Linked DNA regions of Neurospora crassa OR74A. The protein of the gene in region 2 binds, or shares a complex with, the protein of the main gene of each other region. Links are inferred from orthologs where the notes say so. Each region holds a gene or a part of one and is shown on either strand. Other genes may lie near its edges.

What was found. Proteins that work in one complex are often made in the same cells at the same time.
Region 1: the proteins of NCU04191 (region 2) and NCU04116 are in contact, whole or in part, in a cryo-EM structure (PDB 8YF5), measured with the Komagataella phaffii proteins. The link is inferred for Neurospora crassa OR74A from reciprocal best matches to the Schizosaccharomyces pombe genes din1 and rhn1. Residues at the interface, in XP_002490393.1 of Komagataella phaffii: Ser62, Lys63, His64, Phe65, Leu66, Leu67, Gln147, Lys154, Lys186, Lys188, Cys189; in XP_002490270.1 of Komagataella phaffii: Gln19, Tyr59, Asn62, Gln66, Arg105, Val109, Gln112, Arg113, Lys114.

What each region holds. Positions count from the first base shown.
Region 1 is NC_026505.1:4,894,916-4,905,677, forward strand, and holds NCU04116 (DUF618 domain-containing protein), read left to right. Parts: upstream 1-3,770; 5' UTR 3,771-4,309; coding exon 4,310-4,407; exon of another isoform or gene 4,408-4,482; coding exon of another isoform or gene 4,483-4,493; coding exon 4,494-4,585; intron 4,586-4,707; coding exon 4,708-4,908; intron 4,909-4,962; coding exon 4,963-5,750; 3' UTR 5,751-6,074; downstream 6,075-10,762. Other genes in the region: NCU04113 (hypothetical protein), read right to left, coding at 1-703; NCU04114 (hypothetical protein), read left to right, coding at 1,407-1,411, 1,584-1,671, 1,789-1,849, 1,914-1,975; NCU04115 (clathrin light chain), read right to left, coding at 2,396-2,851, 2,939-3,174, 3,248-3,290; NCU04117 (ATP-dependent permease MDL2), read left to right, coding at 6,912-9,311.
Region 2 is NC_026505.1:5,149,627-5,159,963, forward strand, and holds NCU04191 (rai-1), read left to right. Parts: upstream 1-4,749; 5' UTR 4,750-4,758; coding exon 4,759-4,926; intron 4,927-4,982; coding exon 4,983-5,225; intron 5,226-5,300; coding exon 5,301-5,360; intron 5,361-5,428; coding exon 5,429-5,436; intron 5,437-5,489; coding exon 5,490-5,584; intron 5,585-5,654; coding exon 5,655-5,825; intron 5,826-5,901; coding exon 5,902-6,201; intron 6,202-6,286; coding exon 6,287-6,480; 3' UTR 6,481-6,561; downstream 6,562-10,337. Other genes in the region: NCU04190 (exocyst complex component Sec8), read right to left, coding at 856-1,597, 1,673-4,266; NCU17026 (hypothetical protein), read left to right, coding at 6,883-7,344; NCU04192 (vacuolar aspartyl aminopeptidase Lap4), read left to right, coding at 8,992-9,264, 9,361-9,703, 9,762-10,337. UniProt on the Schizosaccharomyces pombe protein: Decapping enzyme for NAD-capped RNAs: specifically hydrolyzes the nicotinamide adenine dinucleotide (NAD) cap from a subset of RNAs by removing the entire NAD moiety from the 5'-end of an NAD-capped RNA.

The DNA.
Region 1 (10,762 bases), about 260 kb from region 2:
ATACAACACCTGCGTAGAGGTTTGGCCAAAGGACTCCGCGGTCACTGTGGAGCCACTCAGCATAGGACCAAGCACTGTGCAGTGTTGCTTGATCGTGAACGGCCACATCTAGTATTGCTTGCCAGAATTTCTCGGCAGTTGAGCCTTCCACTTCCGTCAAGGTTCGCCGTTTTTGCAGACCCTCGAGAACTGCTGCAACTCCGGCATCTCCTTCGGTGCGCTGGCGGTGCTCAAGTATGCACGACCAAAGGGTGATGTCGTTCGCATACTGTGGCCAGTCAACCAGTCGCGGCTTTCCATTTTCGGGCGAATCTGCGTGGACATCACACTGGAAGCGCAAGTCTTCCTCGGTGGCCGTCAAGACATCCCAATCGTCACGGTTGAAGGGCTGGTTAGCGATGCGGGATGACCGAAAGCCCGACCATGCTGACAGGTCGTGTGTGGTAGACGCTTGGCCTGGTAGCGCCTGCACTGCCGAGCCCCGTGCCTTCTTTGTATTCCGAACACCGTGGTCCTCTTCCGCCGCCAAAGTCTCCGAAAGTGCGTATGCCGTCAACGACCGCGACCAGCACGCGCTCGTTGAAAAGTTGACGCATGATGGTAGTCCAGACGCCTGTAAGTGCACAGCGTCCGTGTATAAGTGCGATATGGTGGAGCGGCGCGAGCGAGCTACATGTCGCAGCACAGGAGGCACGACTCGCATAATGGAATTGTGGCCGCTCGACACAGAGAATTGGGCATATGAGCGGCGGGGACTCTTCTTAGCGGCTGTCTGATGCGATCATGTTCATTTTCTTTTTCGCTTCGAGGTTGCCGCTGGGTTATTTGGCGTCGTTGTTCGTATCGTTCGTATAGATCGCGAGGTACCTGGGGCTTCGTTGACTGACTCGAGTTCTGGGGTATCGCGGGCGGTCCATCCCACGGATGGGGTTGTGAGGGGATGTGGAAACTCCTCGGGCTGGAAGCTTTGACGTTCTGGAGTGGAGGGGACACAAAAGTGGAGGGGACCTTGCAGGTGTGGCCGGGGATCGCTCCCTAACTTGCTTCTTAGTCATCCTACGATCATGTGTTTCAATCCCCCATCCTTCCCGGCAGGCAGTGAGTCTGCTGAGCTGCTCAGTCTGAAGGTCAATGTCGAGGCATCAGCAGCAGCTGAAAGCTGTGAGCACTGACCAAACCTTACACCTGGCAAACAGGCAGGCAGGCAGAGCTTCCGCCGTCGGGTCTGCAGTCTCCACCATCCACAAGTCCGTGCACCACAGGAAGCCCCGAGCCGAGAAACCTGAAGCAGTGAGAGGTTCAAAGCTAACTCTCCGTCCTTTCCACGCATTCGACATCATCACACCAACCCCTCGCATCACCCCCCCGGAATCTTCCACCCAACGACCCCCGACAACAATTTCAAGATGCCGTAAGCTTCTCCCCTCCGGCTGCGAGCTCCTCGACGATCCGACGACCCTCCAGCGACTGCGCGCATTGCGGACGCCGCCCCAGGTCCAATTACCTGTCGTCATGACGCACTATTGTTCGTCGTACGATTTTGGAATCCCAGGCTAACAGCTCTCTTTCTTCCCCGACTGCAGCGGCCTCGTCAACGCCCCCAACCACGTCCCCGAGAAGCAGCGCTACTACCAGCAGGCCTTCAAGAACCACACCCGCCTCTGGAAGATTGTGAGTTGAAGTCGACACTTGAGGATGGTTGGGGAATCAACAGATGGGAAGGAGGAGAGGGAGAGACGGAGAGGGAGGTTTTGTCGGGATAAGGGCTGATGACAAAATCGCGAACAGGGCCCTCGCAGCGGCATCATCATGACCACCTTCAACATTGCCATGTGGGGTACCTTCGGCGGTGCGTATACCTTCATTGATGGCTTATCGCTTCGTCCTTGCTCCTTCCGCTAACTGTACATCAGCTTCCATGTACGCCATGTCCCGCAAGGTTCTCGGCTACAACACCTGGTTCTCGGAGGATTAAATTAGCCGTCCTACCACGATAGTCAACGAAGGCGGTGCTACTGGTCATGATAGAAGCACGAGAATCCCTTTGAATATGTGTATAGTCGCAAAGAGCAGCATAGATGGCGGCAGAGGGCAGGCCGCTTTGGGTGATACCTCCAAGAAGTAGGCCGCCACGCCGATATTCCCTATTTGCATCATGGATTCCACCGACCACCTTTGGGAGAGCTACTGTAACCGTGGAAATCGTGATCCATTGGGTCTCGGCGCTTCGATTACCAAGCTCCAAACACTGATGGCTGCAGCTGTCAAGTCTTTTCTATCATTACAAAATTATGGCTTTTTGGCCATGGGGCAGTAGTGGCCATGGAGGTGTGAAACCTGTGAATAGTGGTAACCAGGCGTTCCCTTTGTCATGGGGGCAGATCAAGTAAGCGCTTTAAATCCCCGAGGCACCGGGGGCCTTTTCGTCCTTCTTTAGGCTTATCAGGAGCTCACGGAAACGCTCCTTGCCGGAACCAGCAGCACCGCCCTTAGCTCCCTTGCCGCTAACGTCAACCAGCTTGGCAATGCGCTCCCAGCTCGTGCCTCCCGATGTGGTGTCCTCGCGGCTGGCAAGGAACTCCTCGGCCTCCTTGCGGGTCTGCCCAATGGCCTTCTCCTTCTTGTTGTTGTAGTTCTCGTAGAATTCGTCAATGTTCTTCTGCGCCTCCGCGATGGTCTCGGCTCTCTGGGCGGCGAACTGCTCCGCCCGCTTGGCAAGCTTCGCATCACGCTTCTCGCGCCACTCTCTGATCACCTCGGGCTCTTGCTCCTCCTGGGCGTATGGCGCATATCCAGAGTTGTAGGTGACGGAAGGACCGGCGCCAGTGATGGTACCGCCTGGCGCAACAGACTAAAGTGAAGATGCCCCATGTTAGAACCCAAGACCATGATTACGTGCTGTGTCGACATCTTTGGTATCATCATTATTTAGTCGTACCTCGTTGCCTGCGGAAAGGTCGGGGAACTGGCTCTCGAAAGCAGCGCTAGTCTCAAGGCCAGCGCCGGCGCCAGCGGAGGAGTCAAGGCCACCCCCTAGGAGGTCGTTGTCATCGTCGAAACCAGCATCCTCAACTGTCGCAAATTGGTTGGCATCGTCGCCGAGAAGCGCCTTTTCGCGCTCGAGGAAGTTGGAGGCCGAGGGGCTTCCAGAACCCTCCTTGATCTCGGTCTGGGCTTTTGTGGGGGTTTGAATGTTAGCAGGCAGTAACAGCAAGGTAAGGGGATCTCCAAACAACGCCAAGCTTACCGCCGGAGTCGAACTCCTCCAGCGAGGGGAATCTGTCAGCCATGATGTGGGTGGTGTGATTTGACTTTTGGTAGATCGGCGCGAACGGACAAGACTGGAGGCTGGAGAAGTGGACTGAAAAACGGAAATATTGGGTAGGACGGAGGATCGAAGAAAGCTGCGAAACAGGCAAGGTGTTTCGTTGTTTGATGGAAGTGTCTTTTGGTGTTGGTGTTGCACTGCGGGAGTCCGAGTTGCAGCCCACCCCAGCGCTCCTGATCGCGCCAGGTTCCAGGTTGCGACGGGACGCCACTCACAGCGGCCACTGGGGCACTTTGGCACTTGTCCACAGTAACAGCGACCCTCTTGGGCCTCTCCATTTGGCCAGGGGAAGCCGTAGAGGTAGTAACAGCTACCTTTAGGTACCGGCAGGCAACTCCATTGTCTGCGTGCGGCAGGCGTTCCGTTGTCCCTCTTCCCCTGCCTGCCCTCGCATTGGACGGATGGAGGAAGCTCCAACGTCTGCTTCGTTCCGTCCCACCACCTCCCGTCGACAACTTCTTTCTTCCTTCTTCTTCTTTTTCTTCTTCTTCTTCTTCCTTTCATCAACAACATTCAGCACTCACCTCGCTGTGGTTTCAGTTGTTTGTCACAGAGCATCCAGATCACGCTCATTTGCGCTTTGCACTGCAAACTCTTCCTGGTGACAGCATTGGTAATAGCAGGGAAACGACTCCGGTGTAGTTGGACCACAGAGCTTGACTAGGTGCTTAGTTCGTGCTGAGCACTTCTCTCTTGCCGTCATCTAGTGTGTTGTGTTGATAGTCCACGCTTCTGCCATTTGAGGTTGTTCCCAAGGGCTTTCGATCCATATTCTAGATCACCACTCGGCCGCGTCTGGAGTCCCTGCTACTTACACGCAAACATCACGGATACCTTTTCGTACTGCTGTAGATGAGTTCTGAATAAACCCGACACCGCATATCTTGAACATCTGCCCCGTCCATCACACCCACCAACCAACCAACCATCAACAACCACTTTTTCCAACACTTTCCAACAAATTTCGCCTAAAGCTTCACCATGGCGTATAACGAGGATGCTGTGCTCTCTAAGCTCTCTGCACTCACTGAGACTCACGAGAGCATTGCAACCACCGCTCAGTGGATCATGTTCCATCGGTAAGCTCCCGCTGCCCACGACCGACGACCGCATTCACCTGCTGTTTGATGTCTCGACCGCCGAACTGACTGTTGATGTATCTTAGGCGACATGCTGCCCAGACTGTCCATCTCTGGTTGACCAAGCTGAAGGACCTCCCCAGTCCCAAGAGGCTCAACATGATTTATCTTGCAAACGGTGCGTGCATTTCCCAGGCTCTCCCACATAGGCTGCATGTGATGTGCATCCCCCGGCGTTCGTTCTGGGTTTCTTTCTTCTCGTTTGGGACTGAATGCTGACTTTATTCGTCTTTCTCATAGAGGTGACGCAGCAATCCAAAGCTCGCAACAAGGATGACTTCCTTCAGGCTTTCTCTCCATTCATCGCAGATGCAACCGCGTTGTCTTATAAGGGCGCCTCGTCAGACATCCAGAACAAGCTCCGAAGGGTTGTTGATGTTTGGAGAGAACGCAAGATATTCCCCATAGAAGTCCAGGACGCCATAGACTCTCGACTAAGAGGTAAGCCGTGGCCTCAGCCCTTCCGCAGACAAGCTACTAACTTGTTCAATCCAGAGCTTGACTCAGCCCGCTCCGGTGGAACAATGTTCGGTTCCACATCGTTGTCGTCGCCAGCTGCAGCGGTGCCTCCAGAGTTGGCACCCTTGGTTACCTCACAGCAGGCAGTTTCCAAGAGTGCCCAGGCGTTGAAGACAAGCCTTACTACCGCCAATTCGGACTACAGCAAGCTGATGGATCCGGCCCACGCTCCTCCTCAGGCGCCAGTGTATGCCGCGCGACTCAACGGGCTTCTTAAAAACCTTGCCAATGCTGAGGGAGCCGTGACGGAATGCATCAAGACCCGCGAAGAGCTGATCAGCGCATTGGAGAAGATGTTGAGCTCCAACCGACAGGCCTTGGAGGCCGAGCAATCACAGCTCAGGGATCTAGGCACCCGCAAGACGGCAGTTGAGGAGAAGAAGCAAGCAATTGAGCTCAGCATCATTGGAGGTTTGCCTCACAATACCCAAGAGCCGGCTACCGGTGAGGAGCGCGCTCCATCTAGCTCGGATGGCCACGGCATCGCCCGTCCTCAGGTTGAAGCACTCACGCCGCCCCACGTCCAAGATCACGACGATTTCTACGATCATCGCCCGTCTGAGCAACAACAGCCGCAGAACGGTCATACTCACCCAACTGGATCTGCTCCTGGCATTGAGATGCTGTCCGCCCTCGCTTCTCAATATGAGTCTGTTCCAACTCGAGAGGCCAAAAAGCGCAAGATCGACGAGACTGCCGACATTCCTGACGTAGGCATAGATGCCGATGTCGCCGAGATGATCCAGAAGGAAAGCACGATTTAGAACAAGGACGGGGAGAAGATTTTTGGAAGCAAAACTTGACCGAACTGAAGTTTTTCTACCTTTGTATCAGTTTGAGTGCATATGGCCCAACACTCTGGAGTTGTTGCCGTTATTGCTGGTCTAGGGGAACGATAATGGCTGTATGGCGAGAATCATCATTCATGTGGCATTTTGGCGCGGGCCTGAAACCTTCTCTGGAGCGAGTATGTGGAGATACAGAAGGACAGGACTAAGGATTATTGGCATGCTTCATTCTTGACGGGCAAAGCGCCATTCGGTTCGCTGTAGAAATATCGTGAATAAAATCATCGGCATTTACACAAGCGATCGTCTTTTTCGTCTTTTTTCATTACCATGATGACCTTTGAAGTTGATGACGTCCGCACAGCTTCAATACCCCTGAGGTACAAATAAGTGGCATGAGTGGAATGGGCCAAGCTTGAGCACGGGCCACTTGTAGAAGGTACCGACATCGTTGAACGCATTCCGGAATTGACAGTGGATGCCGCCGGCATCGTTGTCGGGTGGTGGCTTGCTCTTCGCTGCTGAATGACGAAATGTCCGACTGCAGGTGAAAGATGCGCGCTTTGCCCTGTTTTGGGGGGGGGGGGGGGGGGGAGAGGGACAATTGAACAAGGGAATCGAAGCCGCCCTCCCGCCGTCGTGGTCCCCAGAGCTTGAGCGGCGAATCAATCGCAGTTGCTGCAGCGCCAAACCGGCGATTGACCACTGAAGTTGAGATCCCGTCCGCCGGGACAAGCAAGGGTTTTTGCACCGACGGCCGAGCCGACCGAACTGCCTGGGTGTCATCCCGACTTCATTCCATCATCCCCCCCGCCGTCCGTCCCGTCCCTCGACCTCGGAACCTTTCCACCACTTCTTTCTCCACGTTTCCTTCAACAGTTCCTCAACCACATTCCACATCACCAAACTCACCCATTCGCACGCAGTGCAGGGACTCAAGGGAACCGGGCATTGACAAGCGCAGAAACAGGCGCGCATGCGCGCTAGCGGTCTCGCATCAGGCAATTAGTAACATAGCCCACTGCACAACACCGACATGATATGATAGAAACTCGACACCGAAACTCTACGATACAGCGAGCCTAGTACCTAGTCACATACACACTCGACCTACCCAAGACACATATACTTCAAGCCATGGTTACGGGGGTAGCGGTGCGCCGCGCCGTGCTGCTCCCCCAATGCGGCGGTAGCGGCGCCGGGCTCGCGGCTTTGCTGCCGTTCCAACGATCGCCCACTATGACTTCCTCGATTCTGTCCGCAAAATTCTGCCGTCCGTTCTCGTCAGTTCAGCGGCCCTCGACGACATCTTTTACCATCGTTTCGGTTCCTTTCTCATCCTCCCATCCCGGATCACGACCATGCGTACAATCCCAACGTTGGACTTCCCCCTTCGGCCTTCTCCGCCAGCTATCGACCTCACAAACTCGCCTACGGGAGCAGCCGGCCAAGGAAGCTGCGGCAGAGACAGCAGAAGAGGCGGCAAAGGACGTTGAAAAGGTCAAGGAATATACATCTGAAGAACACCTCAAGGTACACGGTTTTACGAAAAGCGAGAGGGCGCATAAGGCCGCCCATATCAACATGAGCGCTCGTCTTTCCAAGGATGGCAAATCCCAATCAGGCACCAAGCCCGGCTTCGCCGAGGTCTGGCGTCTGATCAAGATTGCGCGCCCCGAGGTCAAGGCGATGAGTGTCGCATTCGTCCTGCTTCTCATCTCGTCCGCGGTCACCATGTCCATCCCCTTCTCGATCGGCAGAATTCTGGATCTTTCCACCCAGGGTCCCGCCGGCGAGGTTCGGCTCTTCGGTCTTACCCTCTATCAGTTCTTCGGCGGCCTCGCTGGTCTTCTCACTCTTGGTGCGACGGCCAACTTTGGCAGAATCATCATTCTCCGTATCGTCGGCGAGCGCGTCGTGGCTCGGTTGCGCACGAATCTCTACCGCCGCACCTACGTCCAGGATGCCGAGTTCTTCGATGCCAACAGGGTCGGTGATCTGATCTCGCGACTGAACTCCGACACGGTTGTCGTGGGCAAGAGCATTACTCAGAACGTGTCTGATGGTCTCCGTTCCATGGTTAGCGGAGCGGCGGGTTTCGCGGCCATGTTCTGGCTCAGCCCCAAGCTGACATCCATTATCCTCATCATGGTTCCCCCTATCGGTCTTGGAGCGGTTCTCTACGGTCGCAACATTCGCAACTTGAGCAGGCAGATCCAGAAGAACGTCGGCTCACTGATGAAGATCGCCGAGGAACGGTTGGGTAACATCAAGACCAGCCAGGCCTTTGCCGCTGAAGTGCAAGAGGTGGGTCGCTACAACAAGCAGGTCAGAAAGATTTTCGCCCTGGGCCGGAAGGAGGCCATTGTCTCGGGTGTCTTTTTCAGCAGTACGTCGTATGCAGGAAATCTGGCGATCCTGGCTCTCTTGATTGTCGGCGGGAACCTTGTGCGCTCAGGGGCCATGTCTCTGGGCGATTTGACCTCGTTCATGATGTATACTGTCTTTGCTGGTTCGAGTCTCTTCGGTGTTAGCGGCTTCTACTCGGAACTGATGAAGGGTGTCGGCGCAGCGAGTCGTTTGTTCGAGCTCGAGGATCGCAAGCCGGCCATCCCCCAGACCGTTGGTGTGAAGGTTGAATCTGCGCAAGGTCCCATCAAGTTCTCGAATGTAACGTTCGCCTACCCTACCAGACCTGCAGTTACGATATTCAATGGCCTCGACTTTGAGATCCCCTCGGGCACAAACGTGTGCATTGTAGGCCCTTCAGGCGGAGGTAAAAGCACCGTGGCCTCCTTACTCTTGCGCTTCTATAACCCCACATCCGGTAGCATCACCATCAACGGCATCGACATTTCCAAGATGAACGCCAAGTCTCTCCGCCGCCGCATCGGCATGGTCTCACAGGAGCCAGTCCTCTTTTCGGGTACCATTGCCGAAAACATTGCTTACGGCCGTCCACGGGCTCCGCGCACCGAGATCATTGCGGCTGCCCAGAAGGCCAACTGCGGTTTTATTAGCGACTTCCCCGAAGGCCTCGAGACCCAGGTCGGCGCCCGTGGCGCCCAGCTTTCCGGTGGCCAGAAGCAGCGCATCGCCATTGCTCGCGCCCTCCTCAAGGACCCCGATATTCTTATCTTGGATGAGGCTACCTCCGCCTTGGACGCCGAATCCGAGACCCTGGTCAATTCTGCCCTTGCGGAACTCCTCAAGGGCCGCAGCACCACCATTTCGATTGCTCACAGACTGTCCACCATTAAGCGATCTGACAAGATCATTGTGCTCTCGAGCGAGGGTACCGTGGCTGAGATTGGCAGCTACACAGAGCTGAGCGCCAACAAGGACAGCCACTTCAGTAAGCTGATGGAGTGGCAGATGAGCGGTGGTGATGTCTCCCCGGACCACCGCCCTCCCTCTGGGGATCCTCATGTCAGTGAGGTTGAGGAGATTGAGGAGGAATTTGCGGAGGCGGAGAATGACGTTGACGATGCGGTGGAGAAGGATGTGAAGTCGCACAAGGAGCCAGTGAGGGAGTAAAGTGATGGCTGAATGATATTTTCAGCAATCCGTCACACTCCCACACCCCAGTCTACAGCAGATGGTAATGAGTTTGAGGCATTGTCAGCCACTTACTCACGTGGGACAAGCTCCCCGGTCGGGCCGCTGACACAGAGAGATATCTTATCCCTCACAGGCCCAGACCCAGGCATGAATCTCCCGCATCTTCTACCATATACCCGCCGAGCAAGTGACCAAAAGTCAAGGTCCATGCTTCACGCGATGCTCGCTTCAGAGGAGGAGGGCATCGTCACCTTTTTACTGTGTACATGTCACGTATTTTACTTGCTATGTTTGTTATTATTATTTTCAGATCTCCTTTTTAGGGCACTCTCTTTCTCCACTCTAGACCCGATCATGGATGGCTGGTTAGGATAGCTATATGTACGATGTATGATAGATCGGATGCTGGAGAGCGAAGGAGAACGGCACTGCTGGGGAGGTTTGGGGAGAGCCGATTTGGAGTACTAGAAGGAATAGATAAAAACAAATAAGGAACATTTGGCAATTACATCGTCTCGTCTATGACAGAATCAATGAGACCTTTGCTTCAGTGGGCGATCGACCGACTGGTCTTATAAACCAGTCCCATAAACGCTCATTGTGGTCAAAAAAGGCCGTTGCAAAATTATTACAGGACTTATAATAATTCGAAAACACATCGGCTAGACTAAAGTCCCTTTGGGGTATGTTTGTCCAAGAACAGCCTAAATATTGAGTCCAAAGGAGTACTGAAGACGCTGAAATGCGTAGTCAGAGTATACCCAAGGTATAAGCGAAAATCTCAACAATTTTATCAGGGACAGGCTACTCTCTATACACTCAAAATAAATGCTCCACGGGTTGTCGAGCATGAATGAGTGTAGTGGTCAGTGGGACTAAAACACAAGATACAGTACCATATCAAACAAATTTGGCGAAAACAGAGGTCTTCCAAATTCCTGCTATTCAATCGTCCTTTTGCTCTTCATTGCCGGATCCCCAAATGTCATATGTCAATTTCCGCAGTTTCCGTAGAAAGGTTCCTCGGAAGGGTTTATATGGGACACTAACTATAGACTCTAAAATTGACAAACCCCAGAATCGGGTTGTCGTCTCCTTTTCACTAGCGTAGCCCGAGTCCTCCGGAGCCTCCCATGTCGTCAGCATCATCGTGGTGGTGGTGGTGGTGGTGGTGGTGGTGGTGGCGAGTGCGACCAATGTTTTGAAAGACCCACCAGGAGAAACGCCGCACTGCAGCATCCAGGTCCAAACAGTCCCGCCGAGGCAAAAACATCCCCACTCACCTCAAGGTTGTCACTGCGATACAACGCTGCTAGCCAAGGAGCTGTTTTGGTGCATCTTGTCGTCAAGAGTTAACACAAATGTACTTTGTTTGAAGTTCGAATGTTGCGGAGGGAGCCCTGTCTCTCGCCAGGAACGAGAAACCC
Region 2 (10,337 bases):
GATTGATTGATCATCATATGTAGGTACATATGATATATATGTCCGTCAACCCAAGCCAAGTAAAATGGTGGTGAACGATGTAAGTAGCCGCCTTATTTTGCTACCTACCATTGCCTTCCTCCAACAAACAGTCGTCTATCGGTGTTATTTCTTCCTATCTACTACACTACCTCTATCCCCTCCTTCTCCAGGATGCCTTGCATACATACACATACACATGCACATACTGGTTGGTACCGGCGTCGTCTATGCAAACTAAGCCGACGAGCAGTTCAAGTTTGATAAAGGCACATACATACATATATACATACATACATGCATACATACCTAGCTCAACTTTACATACATGACCGGTAAGCACTGACAAGCTTGATGCATCATCATGTGCAAAGTGTGCATACACGAAAAGGATATGCAGGATGGTATCTTATCTAAGCTGCTGCTTTGACAATGGTGCAGGTTGCAAGCAGATGAGAGAAAGAGTCCGCTTTGGCTTGGATGTCGGAGAAGGAAGAGGGAGGGGCGCGTAATGAGGGGAAGGGAGTTTTTGTCTACCTCTACGTAGAGAAATATTTACCTACTCGTCATCAGGTATTGAAGCAACGAACTTCGGCTGGCTGGGGAAGTGGCTTGCTTGAAAGTCTGACGAGAGGTAGACAAGGTGTGTCAAACAAGTGATGAGAACAAAGTGACAACAACACATGTGAGATGGGAGAAATAGCCAAGAACATACACGAGATGAGAGACGTGATACTAAGAGAATAAAAAATAAGAATTAACACTCGTGAATTATCGAATCTACCTCTTAACCATGCTAATGATACCAGCCCAAGTCTAAATGTCCTGCAAATCCACCTAAGACTGCCACATGTACTCGCTCAAATTCAGCAACTTATCCGCCATCTGCCTCTTCGCCGCCGCCGCCACGCCGCGCTCCGGATCCGCCAACTGCTCGCTATAACACAGCTCCACGAGCGCCTTGAGTTCATCGTAGCTGAACCGGTCCTTATCGTCCCCAAAAATTTCCGCCGACTTTCTCGAGTTGGGCGTCTCCGCCCCTTCTTCTCCGGCGTCTTCACTTTTTCGTCCTGCGTCACCAGTTTCCTGGGAGCCAGAAGAGGCGACGCCTTCCCTGGCTTTCTCGAGAATGGCATCCACTCCGCGCTCAAACATCTCAAAGTAATTACTTGCCCTCACGAGATCGACTCCTTCCTCGATATTCTTGAGGTTCTGCTGCAGCACAAGGATGTTGAGTTGCATGCGCCCGCACCCCTTGGCGTTCATGGGCGCCGTCATGGGCGCGTTCTTGATCAGGAACCCGTTGATCAGCTTGCCGAGGCCGTTCCTGACAAACTGAACCTCGCGCAGGCGGAGGCATCTCACTAGAATTTCGTCGTAGGCCACCATTTCCGAGTTGAGCGAGAGGATCTCCGGGTCCGGCTCGTTGACTTCCTGATCGAGCAGGTAGGGGGCCGTGGTGAGCGGGGACAGGGCCGTTTGGAGGGAGTGCAGGATGCGAGTGCGGATTTCAAGGTGTAGAGTGAGGAGGGCGGTGGAGGCGAGCTCGTCGTAGGATACTAGGATACTATCAAAGTTTCTAAGGGGGGAATGAGTTAGCAAGCGAATACTTATCAGGGTTGAAGAAGGAAAATATATAGGATAGTAAACTTACTCAACGGTCTCCTCCGTCATAGGCAGGTAAACGGGGGCTTCCCCTCCTGTAGCTTTGCTCGGGTCGTTCAGCAGCGTCCAGCGCTTCTTCTCCGCCTTGGTCGGGAAGCTCGACTTGGATGAGTCCGTCTCGTTACGCGTTATGTGACGCAGACCGTGGATCTTAACCGACAGCCACTTCATACTGGTGTATAGCAGACACATGGACTGAATCATGTCGCGATCCTGAATGATGTCACTGGCGTCCAGGTCCCGACCGTTGGCCCACGCGATGAGCTGGTTCACCTCGCGGTAAAGAAGCTCCAGATCGTTCAGGTTTTCCGACTTCCACAGCCTCTGTATCGTCTCGCGGACTTCACTAGGCTCGGTGGCGAGAATGGCAGATGCCCGAAGCTTTTCCTTTTCCCTGATCTGCTTGTCCCCCCCTTCTTGTGTCTTGGTGACCAGGGCTTTGTACCAGCTGAAGCAGCGGTCGTAGTATCGGACCATTTGGGTGATGATGAGCGTACTCAGCGCTTGGTCGTGGGGAATAGTGCCCAGCATCCGGCAAAAGGCTGTGATGACTGTGAAGAAGGCTGTGGTTCCCTTGTACACAGGCCGCTTCGCAACTTGGGCCCAGTCCGAGTCTTGCTGAAAGGCGTCTGCCTCGCCAAAGACAGTATCACTGAGCTTTCCAAGGGTCTCGTCGAGTTGAGGCTGGAAGACATTGACGAGGAAGTTGTCAAGGAACGATGTCAGCGTGCTGGTTGCCAGATCGGACCCCGGGGGCACAATGCTCTTCAACCTCTGAAGGAAGATGAGAGTAGGTGGTAGAAGCAGGCTCATGTTGAACACGCTGGGCTCTACCAGGGATTTGTAAGTGCCACTGTTCTGTTGACTGCTTCCTGAGCCGTACCCTGCCGACTTCCTCGAAGTAATTGGCTCAGATCGCGGGATGATCAAAGAACCCTTCTTGTTGTCACGCCGGGTGCTGTCCGTAAGTCCAGGTACGGCGGCCCGGATGATGGAGTCCAAGGCCTCATATTCCGAGGCCATTTCGGCTGACTTGGCATCAACTTCGGAGAACTTGAAGAGATTGTCGCGGGCAGAATCCGCCCTGCCATTCATGCCCATGCCAGGTCTGGGTGTACGGCTGAACTGATAGACATCCGCATCGGTGGTAACGTAGTTGTGCAGGAGTGCCCGAATCTCGTTTTGGTAGAGGTTCCAGAGCTCCTTGAAGCCCCCTAGCAGCACACTGTTGTTGCCAGCACCTTCACGGCGAATCAAGGCTTTGATGGCTTCGTGTAGCACCCGATGACCCTCAGCGATGGCCTCGAACTTGCCGTAAAGCGTCGATAGCAAATCGTGAATGACGTCTGCTCGCATTCGGGTTTCGCGGTGACCGTAAATGTTAAGGCCGTGAGACCCAGACGCGCCTCCGCGTAGTGAGCTCGGATGCTTCTGGTCTACATCGTTGATAGTCTCATTGACGACCGCGAAAAGCTCGACGGGTAACCTCTGCTTGAGCATGTCGACCGCTGTCTCTAGCCTTCCCAGTCTGTTCAGAGCTTCAACGAGGAGGGTCACATAGTAAAACGTGTCCGCCTCGGGATTCTTTTGGGGATCCTCAGCCACGGACTTTTCCCAGTCAATGGTGTCCAAGATTCCGTGGAAGGGTGCCACGCCTGGGGCGTCTCCATAGGTCTCATGAGAAATTCCCTGGACCTTTGCCAGGTTCTGCCACCTTTCCTGACAGTACGGTGATTTCAGATAGAGATGTTCGTGCAACTCTTCCACCAGGATATCCATGAGGGCGGTCTCCTGATTTGCAAGATAGCTTCGCAGGTCGCTCAGGGCACCAATGTTATCCAGCTCGGGCTTCCTCAGCTTCCGTAGCGCATTCTGCAGGACCTCGACGGCGGTCAGAAAACGCTTCTCGGATATCCTGGCCTCCAACTGGTCTGGAACGGTGCGCAAGTCATCGAGCTCGTTCAGTGTTTGTAGGACGCCATCGTACATGCGTGACGTGGCATGTAGCTGTTTGAGTTCGGGATTGGTGGTGCAGAGTGCCGTCTTGGAGGCTGCCAGCGACTCCTTGAGGGCGCGCACCTTCTTCTGGGAGGACTGTATGCTCCCTTGGATCTTGTGGAATGTACCAATGGAACTGTTGAAGCCTTGGTGGTGGTCGTGGACAATGTTCTTGAGGGACTCTTGGAGGAACTGGTGTGTCTGCTGGAAGTTGCGGTATTCGTGGGCGCGGCCGACGGAGCTGGTGTCGAGAAGCTGTAGAGCCAGCTGGACGGGGATGCAGTCTGTCTCGACCATGGCGGGCCATTCTCTCTTGATCAGATCCAGCACGTTTCCAATCTGGCGCTCGGCATTGGACTGGATCTGCATATCGCCGGCACCCGTGCGGCCACGCTGGGCAGACCGGGGCGGGGGCGCATTTCGGGAGGCCGTCGATGGTCTTGAAGCCGGGTTAGTGCTGGTGCCATAGCGGTCGCTGGGATATCCGTCACCGTAGGGATCGTAGTCGTCGTTACGCCGGCCAAGGTTGCCGAAACCGCTGTTGCCCCGATAGGATTGCGGCTGCTGGCCGTATCGGTCGGCCATGATGGTGGTGTGTGTTTGACTCGGCGTCCGGGTGTCGCGAGGAGGGAGAGCTATCGTGTTGCGCGGTACTTCATTATCGGCATGCCTAAGGTATACAGTATGGAACTACTGCTTGGTGTGCCGGGCCCGTCTACAGTTGGTATGAATTGTAGGTGTTACTGAGTGGACGTTGAGTCGTCGTCACCCAGGACTTGAGTCGTCGGGTGTCAAGGTTAGGTTGGTCAATGATGGTGCTTTAGTTGGTGTTGCTCAAGAAGTCCTCCTCTCTCCACGTTCATGATCCCCTAAAACGGATGTACAGTGCTTGTTTGTTGTTACAGAGGGTCCCGCCGTTGCTACATAGGTACGTAACCCCACTGACAGGGCCTCACGCACGACGGATCACTGCAGGGGCAGCGGCCTCCACGAGACATGAATTACAAGCTCGAGATGCTTCCACCTCAATAAAGGTATCCTGGCTCTTCTCTACATCTATCCTCCTTTCAAGTATTAATGATAACTCGTCAAGTCCTTATACTTGGGCATTGGAATTCCAGATTTAGAGCCTTCATCCACATACACAGCGCCGGACAACCGCTCTTTTCTACCATGACCGCCGCTTTCCCAATCCAGCCTGTAGCACGGTTTGCGGGCAAGAGTGAGCTGGTCAAACGGCCAAAGGTAGAAACAACCTACTAGAGACATCCAAAGACCAGAGAGGCTAACTGTCTGACCAGGAATTTGCATGCTTCTCATACGATGCCGATCACAAGTTCTTACTTGGAGCTCAGTCATTGAAGTGGTATTACACACCAGACCTCAACGTCGACCTGTCCAAGGGCTTCGAGAGCTTCATCAAACATGACGATAGTGTAGACGAACATCTGGACAGCCTACTCACCACCATAGCCGACTATGAGCAAAAGACGTCGAAACCGATCGATGCTCACATCGTAACTTGGAGAGGCATGATGACAAAGGCGAGTCTCCCTTAGACTAGCTGTTTCATGATGTCGTTCGTATATCGGACACTAACATCATATACACCGTGATAGATCATGGCAGCCCCCTTTGATGATGACGACGGGTTTGAGATGAATGCTACCCTTTACAGAGTTCGTCCACACCTGCCGCTTGGCCATCTAACTTGGGAAGCCTTGTCATACTAACATGGCTGTAAAAGGGTTGCATGTAAGCGACCACATGGTTTCCGCCCCCATGCTATTTTGACTGACGGCGACAAGATTTATCGAAGAGAACCATGCATACAAACAAGCATCGAGAGCAAACGAGCGGCCATGGAACGGGCCAATCCCGCAAGAAGTGATGCAGTACTGGGGTAAGCTAACTCACTGTCCACGTCTTTCATATCTGCTGAATTGGTAAGCTGACGTCTCCTGGCTTCCAAGGCTACAAGTTTGAGACTCTGAGCACACTTCCGAAACCATGGGGCCAGACCTCTCGCGATTTCATTGAAAGCCGTCCCGATCATGTCGTGAACAACAAGGAGCAATACTGCTCAGTAGTCCGTACAGGCATTGGCAAGACCATTCTCTGTATCGGTGGTGAGGTTGATGCTAGTTAGTGCTCTTGTCTCCCTACCTATACTAACGCCTCTCGTCAACCCCAACTAATAACTCGTCTTTTCTTACTTAGTATGGGACGACAAACCAAGGACTCAAGGCGATCCAATCAACTGGGTGGAGCTCAAGACGTCGGCAGTAATCCAAAATGAGCGCCAGGCCAATAACTTTGAGCGTAAGCTCATGAAGTTTTGGATCCAGTCCTTTCTCCTAGGCGTCCCCAAGATCATTGTCGGATTCCGGACGCAGGATGGGCTGCTGGTTGAGACCAAAGAGTTCCGCACGATGGAGATACCGCTCATGGTGAAGAAGAATGGGCGGCCAAAATGGGATGGGGATACGTGCGTCAACTTTGCTAACGGCTTCCTCGAGTGTGAGTCTTGTCATTTCCTTTGTCTTCTTGAAGTCCAGCAAAGCGTCTTATGCTTTGGAATCTATGACTAACAGTCTCTTTTCAGGGCTTCGCCATACCATCACCGACGAGGGCGTGTGGAGGATCAAGAGAAGGCCTCGGTCGGCAGAAATCGAAGTGTTCAAAGTCGAGGAGGTGGGCCACGGAGACATCATCACAGATGAGTTCATGAACTGGCGGATCAAGCTCGAGCTTCGTCAGGCACAGCCGCCTACTGAAGACAATGAGACCGAAGAGTAAGCTGAATTGGACGAAGCAGTACACGTCTTCTTATGTGCATCAGTGTCCAATAGAAAGAAGTACATTGGCGTTGGGCAACCCACGGTAGCTTCTCAGCCACCCCCCTCGTTCTTGCCTGCCAGTTCCGACGTCTTCCATCATCCAACCCTACCTGTCTGCACCTTCCGTGTGATAAGGCACGCCGCGAGGCAGCTTTCCATCTAATCTCAACCCACTAAAGACGCGAAGCTCCCCGCTGTCAACTGAACAAATGTTCACCTCCCTGTCAACAACCCAAACCATCAAAATCTCCATGCTTCCATTCACCCACGAATTCATTTCCACCATTCACTCTCTGGGTTATAGATCGCTTGACTCTGTCCAGCAATCGTCCGTCATAACTCGCGGTCCTTTAAAATCATTATGACCCCAATCCACGCCACGCGTCTCGACACTTCTCAAAAAGACATCCGCTTGCTCGAGCTTCTCCCGGCCAACAGTCTTCAAGACCCCATCCAATGCAGACTGTACATAACTCAACTGTCAATGGAAACGGAGTATACGGCCTTATCATACGTCTGGGGAGATCCGAATGTTACCTCTCCCATTGCTGTCAACGGCGTTCCCTTCCATGCAACTCACAACCTTTGCGCTGCTCTAAGACGCATACGATCTAAATCCAACCTCTCCACGACGCTTTGGGTAGATGCGATATGCATCAACCAGTCCGACAAAGACGAGAAATCGTCTCAGGTTCAGCTGATGACAGATATCTACCACAATGCCTTGCTCGTCACTGTCTGGCTGGGGGAAAGCGACAGTACACCGATGAGGCAATCGTTCTCATCAAGCTTACGGCCTATCTCCAAAGATCTCTTGAAATAAAGGGGAAAGGCACTCTACTGCCAATTATCTTCTGCGTACCGTTTCATCCGCTTTTTCCAAGTCCGACCTGAGATCACTCGCCCTTCTCAAATTCTTCTCTCGCCCCTGGTGGAGTCGTGTCTGGGTTGTTCGAGAAGTTATCGTCTCTCGGCGTGCAAATATTGTATTCGGAACGAAAGAGATCTTGGAGTGGAAGAGTTTGAGCTTCAGATGATGAGTGCACTTGTCGATAGGCCAGTTTGCGACGACTGATGTACGAATATCTACACCAAATGTGCCCTATAAGCAGAAAGGGGAATGGAGTTGAAGACTATGTTCAAGCTCGCCTGTTGGTAGATATTCAAACATACTCTTTACTCTCTCGAAAAGATAATGTCAGAGGACGTGTTACGGTCAGTCTCGTGCTCAAATCTCCCTATGGGTTCACTATTCAACTTCACTCTTCACAATGAGATATCGTGCCAGGACCGGAATATACTGGACAGAACTTGGGCTACCTCATGCTTTATTGTTTGCACACTTGCCTTATAATCCAGCTGTGTTCGTGAACACCTATCGCAAGGTCGTACAAATATGATAGATTTGCATGAACCTCAGCTCTATCCAGCACATGTCGCTATTGGTATTGCCAAGTGAACAGAGCACGGATACGGGTACCATATCCGACTGACCTGACTACATGTATTGGAGAGATTGTCATGTACCAGTTTGGAATGCTCACTTTGATGATTCAGAGTCTTGATGGATTGCTCGACTATTCTGCATGCTTGAACGGACGATCAATTCTGATGTGTTTGTCTCGTAATCTTTTTGACAGCACCATATGTCCGGTGAGCAAGACCCATCCGACTTAGAATATGAGACCGAGTTTGCTAATTCCGTGAGGTATCTCAGGAATGCGGTATCGACGAGTGAATCTGGACGCAAGCGGATGACTTGATGAAACACTCGTCGGGTACACAAGATTGATGCTGACTGACAGAAGCAAAAGACTATGGACGCGAACAGTTTCACTCTGAGATGTTAAGGATCAAAAAGGATTGAAATTAGTAAGTGCTTTTCTTGTACGTATTCTGCTTCATCATGGTCATTGAAGTGAAGGTCAATCAAATGTGCAAATGTACAACTGAGCTGGGAGAGCTCTACCTGCCTTATACGATGGACCTCTAACCCAGGGCTGCTTATCACTGCAGCGCACCTTAGCGCCGATCTTGCCCTGGCATGAGGCAGGAGCCGGGGGTTGGGGCCGCGGGGACATCAAAGGCCAAATCCGGCCTATCAAAGAGCTCATTTGATGGGATCAAGTACCCCACCGAGCCCACCATGTAGCTGACTCCAGCTGCCCAGAACCGCCTAGCCAGTGATAAGCGCGTCACCTGGACGGATTGTTGGCAACCGGGGTACCGCCTACTCGCTGTGCTGTACCCTGTAGCTGTAGGCTGTAGCTGCAACCTATAGCCGGTAGAGGTAGCTACCTACTGTACATGTACACCTTTGTAAGTGGAAGCTGTTCACCGACCGACCGCCTTCCTTTCTGTTGCCATCTCGTGCGTGTCATCATCTCGTCCTCTTGTTCCTCCCTGTCATCTTCTCATTTCTCTTCTCTCCAAAACATACAAATCCATCCGCATCACCCAGATATACACAATGGTCCGCGCCACTCCCGAATATCTCGCTGCCCGTACATCCATGATGTCTCTCCGAGCGCAAGCCCTCGAGCAGTCCATGATGGCCTCGCAAACATACTACGCTCCTCCTCAGCAGCCCCAGCAGCCTGTTGCTGCCAACCAGATCAATGCCAAGGACATCAAGCCCGAGGCTTTCACCAAGCCATACCTCGAGTTCATGACCGAGAACCCAACCGTTTTCCACGCTGTTGGTTACTTCAAGGAGAAGCTTGACAAGGCCGGCTACAAAGAGGTAAGCCGTCACAGCTTCCCAGCCCCCCTCCCGCAGTTGAAATACCACAACCGAGGCACAAGGACCGAAACTGACTAAGCGCCTTGTAATTTGTAGCTTCACAGCAGAGACTCCTGGTCTGGCCAGATCAAGCCCGGCGGCAAGTACTACACCACTCGCAATGGCAGCTCCATCATCGCCTGGGCCGTCGGCAAGGCGTATAAGCCAGGCAACGGTCTTGCTATGGTCGCCGGTCACATCGACGCCCTCACAGCCCGCCTCAAGCCTATCAGCACCAAGCCTAGCCACGATGGCTATGTCCAGCTCGGCATTGCCCAGTATGCCGGCGCTCTCAACAGCACATGGTGGGACAGAGACTTGAGCATCGGTGGTCGTGTCATTGTTAAGGATCCCGAGACGGGCAAGACCTCTACCAAGGTCGTCAAGCTTGATTGGCCCAGTATGTTGACTCCCCCCAACCCAATTCCATCCGATGAAAGCTAACACACACTTTCCAGTTGCTCGTATCCCTACTCTGGCTCCCCATTTCGGCATTGGTATGACGGGCCACAACAACCAGGAGACCGAGATGACCCCCATCATTGGCCTCGATAACAGCGACCTCAACTCCTCTTCCACCGCCTCCTCCGAGAAGCCCATTGGCCCCAAGGGTTCTTTCGTCTCTACCCAGCCTCCTAAGCTCGTCAAGCTCATTGCTTCCCAGCTCAAGCTTGAGGACTACACCAACATTCTCAACTGGGAGCTCGAGCTCTACGACTCTCAGCCCGCCCAAGTTGGTGGTATCGACAAGGAGTTCATCTTTGCCGGCCGCATCGACGACAAGCTCTGCTCGTGGGCCGCTTTCATGGCCCTCCTCCACGCCCGTGACGATGAGGACTCTGGCGTCATCAAGCTCGTAGCGCTTTTCGACGACGAGGAGATTGGCTCCCTCCTCCGCCAGGGTGCGCGCGGTAACTTCCTCCCCATTGTTATCGAGCGCACCGTCGAGGCTCTCGTTGCCAACACCAACACTCTCTACCAAAATGCTTTCATCGGCGGCACCGGCCTCGGCCCCGGTCTCATGGGCCAGACGT